Macaca mulatta: one gene and its partner. The protein of the gene in region 2 purifies or fractionates together with the protein of the main gene of each other region. This does not show direct contact. Links are inferred from orthologs where the notes say so. Each region holds a gene or a part of one and is shown on either strand. Other genes may lie near its edges.

Region 1 (4,324 bases), on a different chromosome or scaffold from region 2:
GGGTGTTCAAAAAGATCCAAAGCCAGTTGGGGGGTTCACACCTGTAATCCCAGCACTTTTGGGAGGCTGGTCTGTGACAGTCGTTTGGGCCCAGGAGTTTGAGACCAGCCTGGACAACACAGCAAGACCCTGTCTCTATAAAAAATAAAATAAAAATAATTAGCTGGGCATAGTTGACTCAGGGCATGCCTGTGGTTCCAGCTACTTGGGACGCTGAGGCGGGAGGATCGTTTGAGCCCAAGTGCTTGTTGAATTGAGCTATGAGTCCACTACTGCACTCCAGCCTGGGCAACAGAGCAAGACCCAGTCTCTAGGAAAGGAAGATTCATTGGCTAGACGCGGTGACTCACGCCTGTAATCCCAACACTTTGGGAGGCCAAGATGGGCAGATCACTTGAGGCCAGGCGTTCGAGACCAGCCTGGCCAATAGGGTGAAACCCTTTCTGTCTACTAAAAATACAAAATTAGCTGGGTGTGGTGGCGTGCACCTGTAATCCCAGCTATTCGGGAGGCTGAGGCAGGAGAATTGCTTGAACTGGGGAGGCAGAGGTTGCAGTGAGCCAAGATCGCGCCACTGCACTCTAGCCTGGGTGACAGAGTGAAACCCCGTCTCAAAAAGAGAAAAAAAAAGATTCATGCTCTGCTAAAGTTGAAGAAGCCGGGGAAAAAACTTTGGAGCGTTAGCGGCGTCAAGATCGGGCGTGAGCAGAAAGGGCACAGTATTTGCAAAGGCGTGGAGGAGGAGTGATTTTACTGCGTTCTGTCTCTGGGAAGCAATGACTTGGCCTTACCCATTTACAGAGTGCATTGGGACCCTGGTCCCAGAGTTGGTTTGCAGTCTGGGCACTGAGATGCGTTCTGGGACTTGTAGTTTTCCCCAGAGCCAGGAAACTCAAAAATCGAGACATCGGATCCCACCACGAGGTGTCGCCCTTGAGCGAGTACGGTGGCACCTATCCTGTACTTCAGAAGACTGTTGCAGATATCCAACAATCACAGGGGAAGAACGCGAGTTTTTCTGATTGACAGATATGGTTCTCAATCATAGTGAAGATTCGGATGTTACACCCCGCCCTCTTTTGCCTGGTTGGCTGGAGCAACGAAGTGATATTTATATGAACCAATGGGAAATTCTTAGGGAACTAGGTAGTAGCTCAATCCCTAACATCATTGGTCCACATTGTCGACTGGCACGTCTGCCTGCCAATAAGATGGTGTAACCTCGCCAATGGGCGGAGCCAAAGTGCATTTTTCTGAAACACCTCCTTCCTCTCTTGACAACTTGCTTTCTGCCGCTATTGGCTTTTGCACAACAGTGACGGTTCTTTTGTCCAATAAACCAGCAAGACGGTCCTCAGGGGGAAGGTTTACTCAACCATTGGCTTGTGCCTCGTTTTTATTGGCTAGTGTGCCCGAGTGGCGGCGCAGCAGGCCAATCGCGTGCGGCGCGAGTGATTTGTGCGCAGCCCTGGGGCCGGGGCGGGAGGTCGCTTGGGTCGGGTGTAGCCTGAGAACCGGATGAGGCGGCGACCGTGAGGCCGAGCCGGGAGCGGGCGTCTTGCCGAGGCCCGGGCGGGCGGAGAGCAACGGCTACAGACGCCGCGGGGCCAGGTCGTTGAGGGTCGGCGGCGGCGGGGAGCGCAGGGCGCTCGGGCCGGGGGCCGCCGGCGCCATGGGCAACCGCGGGATGGAAGAGCTGATCCCGCTGGTCAACAAGCTGCAGGACGCCTTCAGCTCCATCGGCCAGAGCTGCCACCTGGACCTGCCGCAGATCGCTGTGGTGGGCGGCCAGAGCGCCGGCAAGAGCTCGGTGCTGGAGAACTTCGTGGGCCGGTAAGCGGGCGCGGCAGGGATCGCGGGCGGGCGGCGGCCTAGGGCGCGGAGGGCGGACCGGGAATGGCGCTCCCTGCGCCGCCGGCGTAACTGCGGCGCTTGCGTGCCGGCGGCGGGGAACCGGACGGGGTCGGGGAGGCGGGCCCTGTGGGACGCCCTGGGCAGAGGACTCCCTGCAGGGGCTCGGGAGCGGGCCTGGGCCCCAGGGGCGGCGTCATGGGCCGGGGGGCCGTAGGACCGGAGGTGTGCTGGAATCCTGCGGTCCATCTGGTCCCAGCTTTCGTGGGTGAACTCTGCCGTCTGGTTGCCCGTGGGTCTGGGGTAGATCCCTCTTCTGCTCTTTCGGGCTGTTTATCAGAGGTGAAACCGGCCATCTAGATATCTACTGGGGCGACCCCTGCGGTCTGGCTGGCTTGTTCTTGTATCTGGAGCTGCCCCCGCCATCTGGTTGGCTGTCTCTCTGTCCTGGGCAAGCCTCCCTGCCACAACCATTTGGTTGTCCATCTGTCCAGTCCCACCTGGCAGCCCCCTGCTGTCTGGCTAGCTGTAAAGGGTGACCTCTGCTGTCTGGCCGCCCATCCGTGCCCCTCACAGACTTTAACACTGAGCAGTCCCTCTGTTGGGTGACACCAGCTGGCCTCCACTGTCTGACTGGCTAGCTGACTCCTAGGGGACCCTGTTTGATTCTCTCAGGCTGACTCTTAGAGCTTAGTCCCTGCCTAGAGCTGGTCCTCTCTTCCGTCATTCTTCTGTCTGTCTGGCCATCTCCTGTTCTGCGCATGACTACCCCTGAGTGTCTGGCCCAGCGCCTCTGGAAGTGGGTGGCAGGAGGGTAGAGGGGAGAATACAGCTGAAGGATGAGGTTTGAACCCTACTTCCCCTGTCAGCTAGAAGGAGGACCCTGGGGGTACCTTACTTCAGGATTCCTTTCAGGGTGCTAGAACACAGGGCCCGCCTCCCAGCTACAGCCTGCCAATTGGGGGCCCTCCTTTGGAGCCTGGGAAGGGTCTTCTCGCGTGACCAGGCCTCAGTGGCTAGCCCTGGGATGTAGCCTTCTCTGGACAGCCCTGAGAAGCCGCGGTGTGCCCATCTGTCCAGTGGGCAGACTCCACTCTCTGGGCTGTTTCCAGGATTCAGGAAGCAAATGAATGAGAACAGCCCGTGCAGCCACCTCTCCCTCCCACCAACCCCTCTTGCCTTTCTTGTCTCCCAGATGGGCGGCCACTTCTCCATTCCAGGAACTACTCATTTGTAGTGGTGTGGCTGCCAAATGATAACATCCTCCTCCTGTCATTATTGTCATTGTTATTGTTTTTTTTTTTTTTTTTTTTTTTTGAGACGGAGTCTTGCTCTGTCACCCAGGCTGGAGTGCAGTGGCCGGATCTCAGCTCACTGCAAGCTCCGCCTCCCGGGTTTACGCCATTCTCCTGCCTCAGCCTCCCAAGTAGCTGGGACTACAGGCGCCCGCCACCTCGCCCGGCTATTTTTTTGTATTTTTTAGTAGAGACGGGGTTTCACCGTGTTAGCCGGGATCGTCTCTCGATCTCCTGACCTCGTGATCCGCCCGTCTCGGCCTCCCAAAGTGCTGGGATTACAGGCTTGAGCCACCGCGCCCGGCCTGTTATTGTTTTTATCAGTGTCAAGGGATAATGTTTTTCTTGATTCAACATCTTGAATCCCAAGTAAGGAGTGGGGTGGAGGCTGTGTTACCATCCCCACGTTAGCTGAGCTGGGAGGCTTAGAAGGAACTGTGTTCACCCAAGGCCACCAGGCTGGCGTAAAGCCTTGTGTCTGCTATCCCAGAGCCTTGGGGCTTTCCTCCCAGCAGCACGAATTTCCTCCTTTGCTACCTTGTCTCTGGCTCATTGCCTTCTGTCTTACCACAGTGTTTGCAAAGCTCTGTCTCTTTCACATGCCTTGTGACCTTGCACAGGTTGTCTTGGTCTAAGTCTTGGTTGACACTCCTAAACAAGTTTTTTTTTTTTTTTTTTTTTTTTTGAGACAGAGTCTCGCTCTGTCTCCCAGGCTGGAGTGCAGTGGCATGATCTTGGCTCACTGCAACCTCTGCCTCCCAGATTCAGGCGATTCTCCTGCCTCAGCCTCCCGAGTAGCTGGGATTACAGGCGTCCACTACCATGCCCAACTAATTTTTGTATTTTTAGTAGAGACGGGGTTTCACCATGTTGGCCAGGCTGGTCTCGAACTCCTTACCTCAAGTGATCCTCTCGCCTTGGCCTCCCAAAGTGCTGGGATTACAGGCGTGAGCCACCAGGTCGGGCCCCAGGAGTTCAAGACCAGCCTGGGTAACATGACAAGACACCATTCTACAAAAAATAAAACAAGTAGCCAGGTAGGGTAGTAGTCCCACACCTGTAGTCCAAGCAACTCACGAGGCTGGCCCTGGGAGGATTGCTTGAGCCCAGGATGTCCAGACTGCAGTGAGCTGTGATCGCACCATTACCCTCCAGCCTGGGTGACAGAACCAGATCCT
Region 2 (4,235 bases):
CAGGCTCAGTCCAGAGGTCTGCCTCCTGGCCCCACCCAGAGTCAAACTCCCCACCAAGCCAGGCCTGACCTCAGGGCCCAAGGGCCAGGGAGCCAGCTCCACGCCCTGCATACGAGTTACCCAGCAGCCCCAGGGAGGATCACACCTCTCTCCTGACATCTGCCCTCCTAGCTGTCCCCAGGACTCAGGTACCTGCTGGGGCAGTCACTGGCTGTCTCCTCAGGCAAGAAGAGAAGCCAGGCTTGGGAAGCAGGAGTTGGATAGGCCATGTGGGCAGTGCCCTGGACCCCTGATTCCGCAGCCTGGTCCAGCCAGGGTGCCCCTGTGTGACCCAGGATGAGTCATTTCCCCGGCAGTTCCTTGACAGCCCCAGCAGTAACAGGCAGAGGCCCATCCTGTCCCTCCCCCACGGAGGGGGTCATGACAACTGAAAACACGGCTAGGCTTGGGAAGCGGCCAACATGGACGTGTCCTTGGGGAGGTAGCAGGAGGAAAGGACAGTCCCAGCCGGGCCACAGGCTGTGCAACCACTCTTCTGTGGACACTAACTCCTTCATCCGCAAAATGGGGACAGGGATCTTCCTGCACACAGACAAGACGCTCATAGAGAGAATACACAGTGGTGAGAGTAACTTGCAAAGCTGCAAAGGTGGGGAGGTGAACTTGCAAGGGGCAGAAGACAGGCCCCCACTCTGAGCTCTTGTTATCTGGGTTGGGTCTCTGTCTCCCAAGGGCCTACCGGCTCCTCCAGGGCAAGGCCTGGGGCCCGGTCATCTGTGTGTTCTCAGAACCCAGCATGACACCATGCATGATGGGTAAATGAGATCCAGAGAAAATGAATGAATTGACAAGAAGGTAAATATCAAGCTCCATGAGGACAGAGACCAGGCCTGTGCACAACAATATTCCTGTACCTAGAAGCACATTTGCACAGATACAGAGTTGATACTCAACATGTTTGTTTGTTTGTTTGTTTGTTTTAGAGACAGGGTCTCACTCTGTCACCCAGGCTGGAGTGAAGTGGCACAATCGGGCTCACTGTAGTCTCAACCTCCTGGGTCCAAGTGATTGATCTTCCTACTTCAACCTCCCAAAGTGCTGAGATTACAAGCATGAGCCACCATGCCCAGTCCAACACATTTGTTAAATGAATGATTGAGACAGAGAAATAAAGATAAGTTGCTCCATTCTATCCAGGCCATCCCCATCTCCCCAGGGCCCAGCAGAGAGTCAGACTCAGGATGGGTTTCCTGCCTGCACTGGGTCTTACCTTTCTGTAGGTGGATGATGTCAGGGAAGTTAGAGAGCAGGCCCTGGTAGAGAGACAGTGTGTCCAGCATCTGGAAGAGGTCATTCTTGGGCTGCTCAGCAAACATCTCCCCGATGGCTTCATAGGTACGGCCCGTGTGAGAAATGGCACTGTTGAGGGCCTCAGAGCAAAAAGGGGGGTCCATCTGGAAGGAATGACTGATGGCCTGGAAGGCACTGCCCAGCTTCTGGAATTCCTTGCGGAAGCCCCCCACGTGTTTACGCACCAGCTCTGACGCCACGGTGCTGAGCTGCAGGACACTGTCGTCCATCTTCTTACTGAAGGCCTTGAAAGTGTCCACGCGATCTTCCACGTCCTGCAGGTCCTGGTGCTCGGTGGGGATCTGGAAGGTGAGCAGGAAGCTGGCACCCACCATCTCATCCTTCTCCGCCCGGCGTTTGCCCATCTTCCACTGCTTGTCATCTAGGCAGCTAAGGAAATGCTGGAAGCCTTCGTACTGGGAGAGCACAGGGTGGCTGGTCATGTGGTCCATCCAGAGGATGAGTCTCCGCTTCCGCTTTTCAATGAAGTCCTCCTCGAAGCGGCCTGTGGCCTGCTTCTCAGGCAGGTGGGGCACTGAGATGACAGTGAACTTGTGTAGCAGGCGGTTATAGAGCCAGTCAAAGTGTTTGTAGCGCCGGTAGACAGGTGAGGCAGCATGGGTGGGTGTGAGCTTGTAGGAGATGTAGCTTTTGATGCCCTTGAACTTGGTCTGTTTTGTGGGGTCCTCCACAGAGCAGGCAAATGGGTGGGGGTTGGCCTTCCACTGGGGGCCACGAGGGCCCATTTCAATGGAGTATGTCTCAGCGATCTTGGCCATCATGGGCACATCACCTAGGATGAAGGCCTCCACTCCAGAACGCACAAAGCATGAGAAACGGTTGAGGTTACGGCCCACCACACTGCCTCGCTTGGCAGATGCCAGGCTGTCCTGCCGCTCCAGTGGTGGCTTGGGCCGGAAGGCCATGTGCTGGCTGGGGTAGGCACCAGGGTAGGAGAGGTTGAGGGGAGGGTGCCCATTGGTGCCCAGCCCACCAGCCCGTGGCTCCTCCACCACTGTGCATCCATCGTCCCAGTCATCCCAATCATCATCATCATCCTCCTCGAAGCTACCCTGGTTTGAGAGGAAGCCACTGCCCCCACCACTCCTAGCTGGGTTGGCCACACTGGGGCTATTGTACAAGCTCACGTGGGCCCCCGGAGAGCCTGCAGGGCTGCTGGAGTAGTCAGCATGGTTGGTGCTGATGCCAGAACGGACGATCTCCACGTAAGAGGCAGGAAAGAGCCCTGTCTCCCCACGGCTGTTCTGGCCCTGCAGCCAGCCATCCAGTGAGATCTCGCTGAAGATGACCAGGTCCTCATCCTGCTGGATGCTGATTTCCTCCTTGTTCTCACTGTGAAAGTCATAGAGGGCTCGGCCTTTCAGTGCCATGGTTGGGCTGGGTGGTACAGACAGATGGGAAGGAGAGGGTCCTGTCCAGACCCGGGATGCTCACAAGGAAGTCCAAGAATGCACTCGCAGCTGAATGGCGCTTACACAGTTCAATCTCTCAGGTCCTAAGGTGGGGTCTCAGCACCCACAGATGCTGTCCAATCTCCTGCTCTTCAAAGCAATGTCCACGGCCCAGAAACTGCCCTATCAGGTCTCCGGGCATATGCTTGTGAGCAGGGAGGGCTCATGTCCATAGCCTCCTCCCTTAGCAGCCCCTGGGGGATTAGAGGGGAGTCTCTCCTAACTCCTACTCCCAGAAGAAAAGTCAAGTGACCTGGAGAAATCTGCCCTGGAGGGGAAAAATTCGACACTTTCCACTGGAACAACGTTCTAAAATAGAAGAGACTCACTCGGAAACCACCATTCCAGAAACCCAGGCAGGGCTCGGCTGTCCCTCTGGCTCCCAGATTCTTTTGGCCACTCTCGCTTTGGGAGGCTCTCACATTCCTCTGCAGATCTGCCCCTTCCTCCTTCCTCCTCCTCTTGCTCCTGGGCCACTGGGTTTTCAAATATCCGGAAAATCCAAGAGGGGCAAGGAGAAAAGCAGCAGCCTCCTGAATCGAGTCCAAGGGTGGATGTGTCCGGCTTCACAACGAGCCAGGCCGGGAAAACAAGGACTGAGGCTTACACAACAGGCCGCCAACTCTTCGACCCCGGCTGCGCAGCCGGAGCCCCCGCCGGCTCGGGCGCCCTCTCCCCGCCCCAGAAGTGGCCAGTCCCAACCCCGGAGGAAGGAGGGGGCGCGACGAGGCGGTCGGGCGACTTCTGGCCAGTCGCTGAGTGGTCTCTTTTGTTTGCCTAATTCCTCAGCAGTTTCTGAGACTGACGCTGACCCTGCTCTGAATCCCAGGAACCCCGTCCAAAGGTAACCCCAGCAGAAACCAGTTCCTCACCCGGGACTTACGACCCCCGACCCCCACCCTCGCGTGCACGCACACACTCAACAGTTTGGAGTTTGGAGAGTGAGCTCCGGCGAGCAGATGGCGCGGCTGGCCGTCTGTCCGTCCGTCCTCCGCTCCGCCCTGCGGGGCCCGGCCAGTGGGGGGCGGGCTGCGCCCCCAGCCTGCCTTCCCCTGCGCTCGCAGACCCTCCGCGCCGCCAGCGAGAAGGCAGCTCCAAAACAAAAACGCGATTCCGGGAGGTGGCGTCCCGAGGAAGGAGGGGATCGCCAAAGGGGAGGTGAGGGGTGGGGAGAGGGAGGAGGGAGGGGGAAGCAGGCTGGAGAATCGGGCAAACTCCGCTGCACTTCCGTGCGTCCCGGCGGGGCAGGGACGGCCAGCTCCGCCCTCCCGCGGGCCCGGGGCGCTGCAGCCGAGCCCCCGCCTACTCCTCCGCGCGGCTTCCCATCTGGCCAGTGCCCTCGCTCAGTCCCGGGCAAGAGGGAGGAAACGACCCGGGAACGAGGGAGCCCGAGAGCCTCCGGGGCTGGTCTCT

What was found. Proteins that work in one complex are often made in the same cells at the same time.
Region 1: the proteins of SNX33 (region 2) and DNM2 purify together in Homo sapiens (co-immunoprecipitation; 3 studies listed by BioGRID and IntAct, with this or other methods). This does not show direct contact. The link is inferred for Macaca mulatta from reciprocal best matches to the Homo sapiens genes SNX33 and DNM2.

What each region holds. Positions count from the first base shown.
Region 1 is NC_133424.1:11,453,873-11,458,196, forward strand, and holds the start of DNM2 (dynamin-2), read left to right. Parts: upstream 1-1,495; 5' UTR 1,496-1,672; coding exon 1,673-1,833; exon of another isoform or gene 1,834-1,933; intron 1,934-4,324. UniProt on the Homo sapiens protein: Catalyzes the hydrolysis of GTP and utilizes this energy to mediate vesicle scission at plasma membrane during endocytosis and filament remodeling at many actin structures during organization of the actin cytoskeleton.
Region 2 is NC_133412.1:53,690,147-53,694,381, reverse strand, and holds the start of SNX33 (sorting nexin-33), read right to left. Parts: upstream 2,832-4,235; 5' UTR 2,742-2,831; coding exon 1,271-2,741; intron 1-1,270. UniProt on the Homo sapiens protein: Plays a role in the reorganization of the cytoskeleton, endocytosis and cellular vesicle trafficking via its interactions with membranes, WASL, DNM1 and DNM2. Acts both during interphase and at the end of mitotic cell divisions.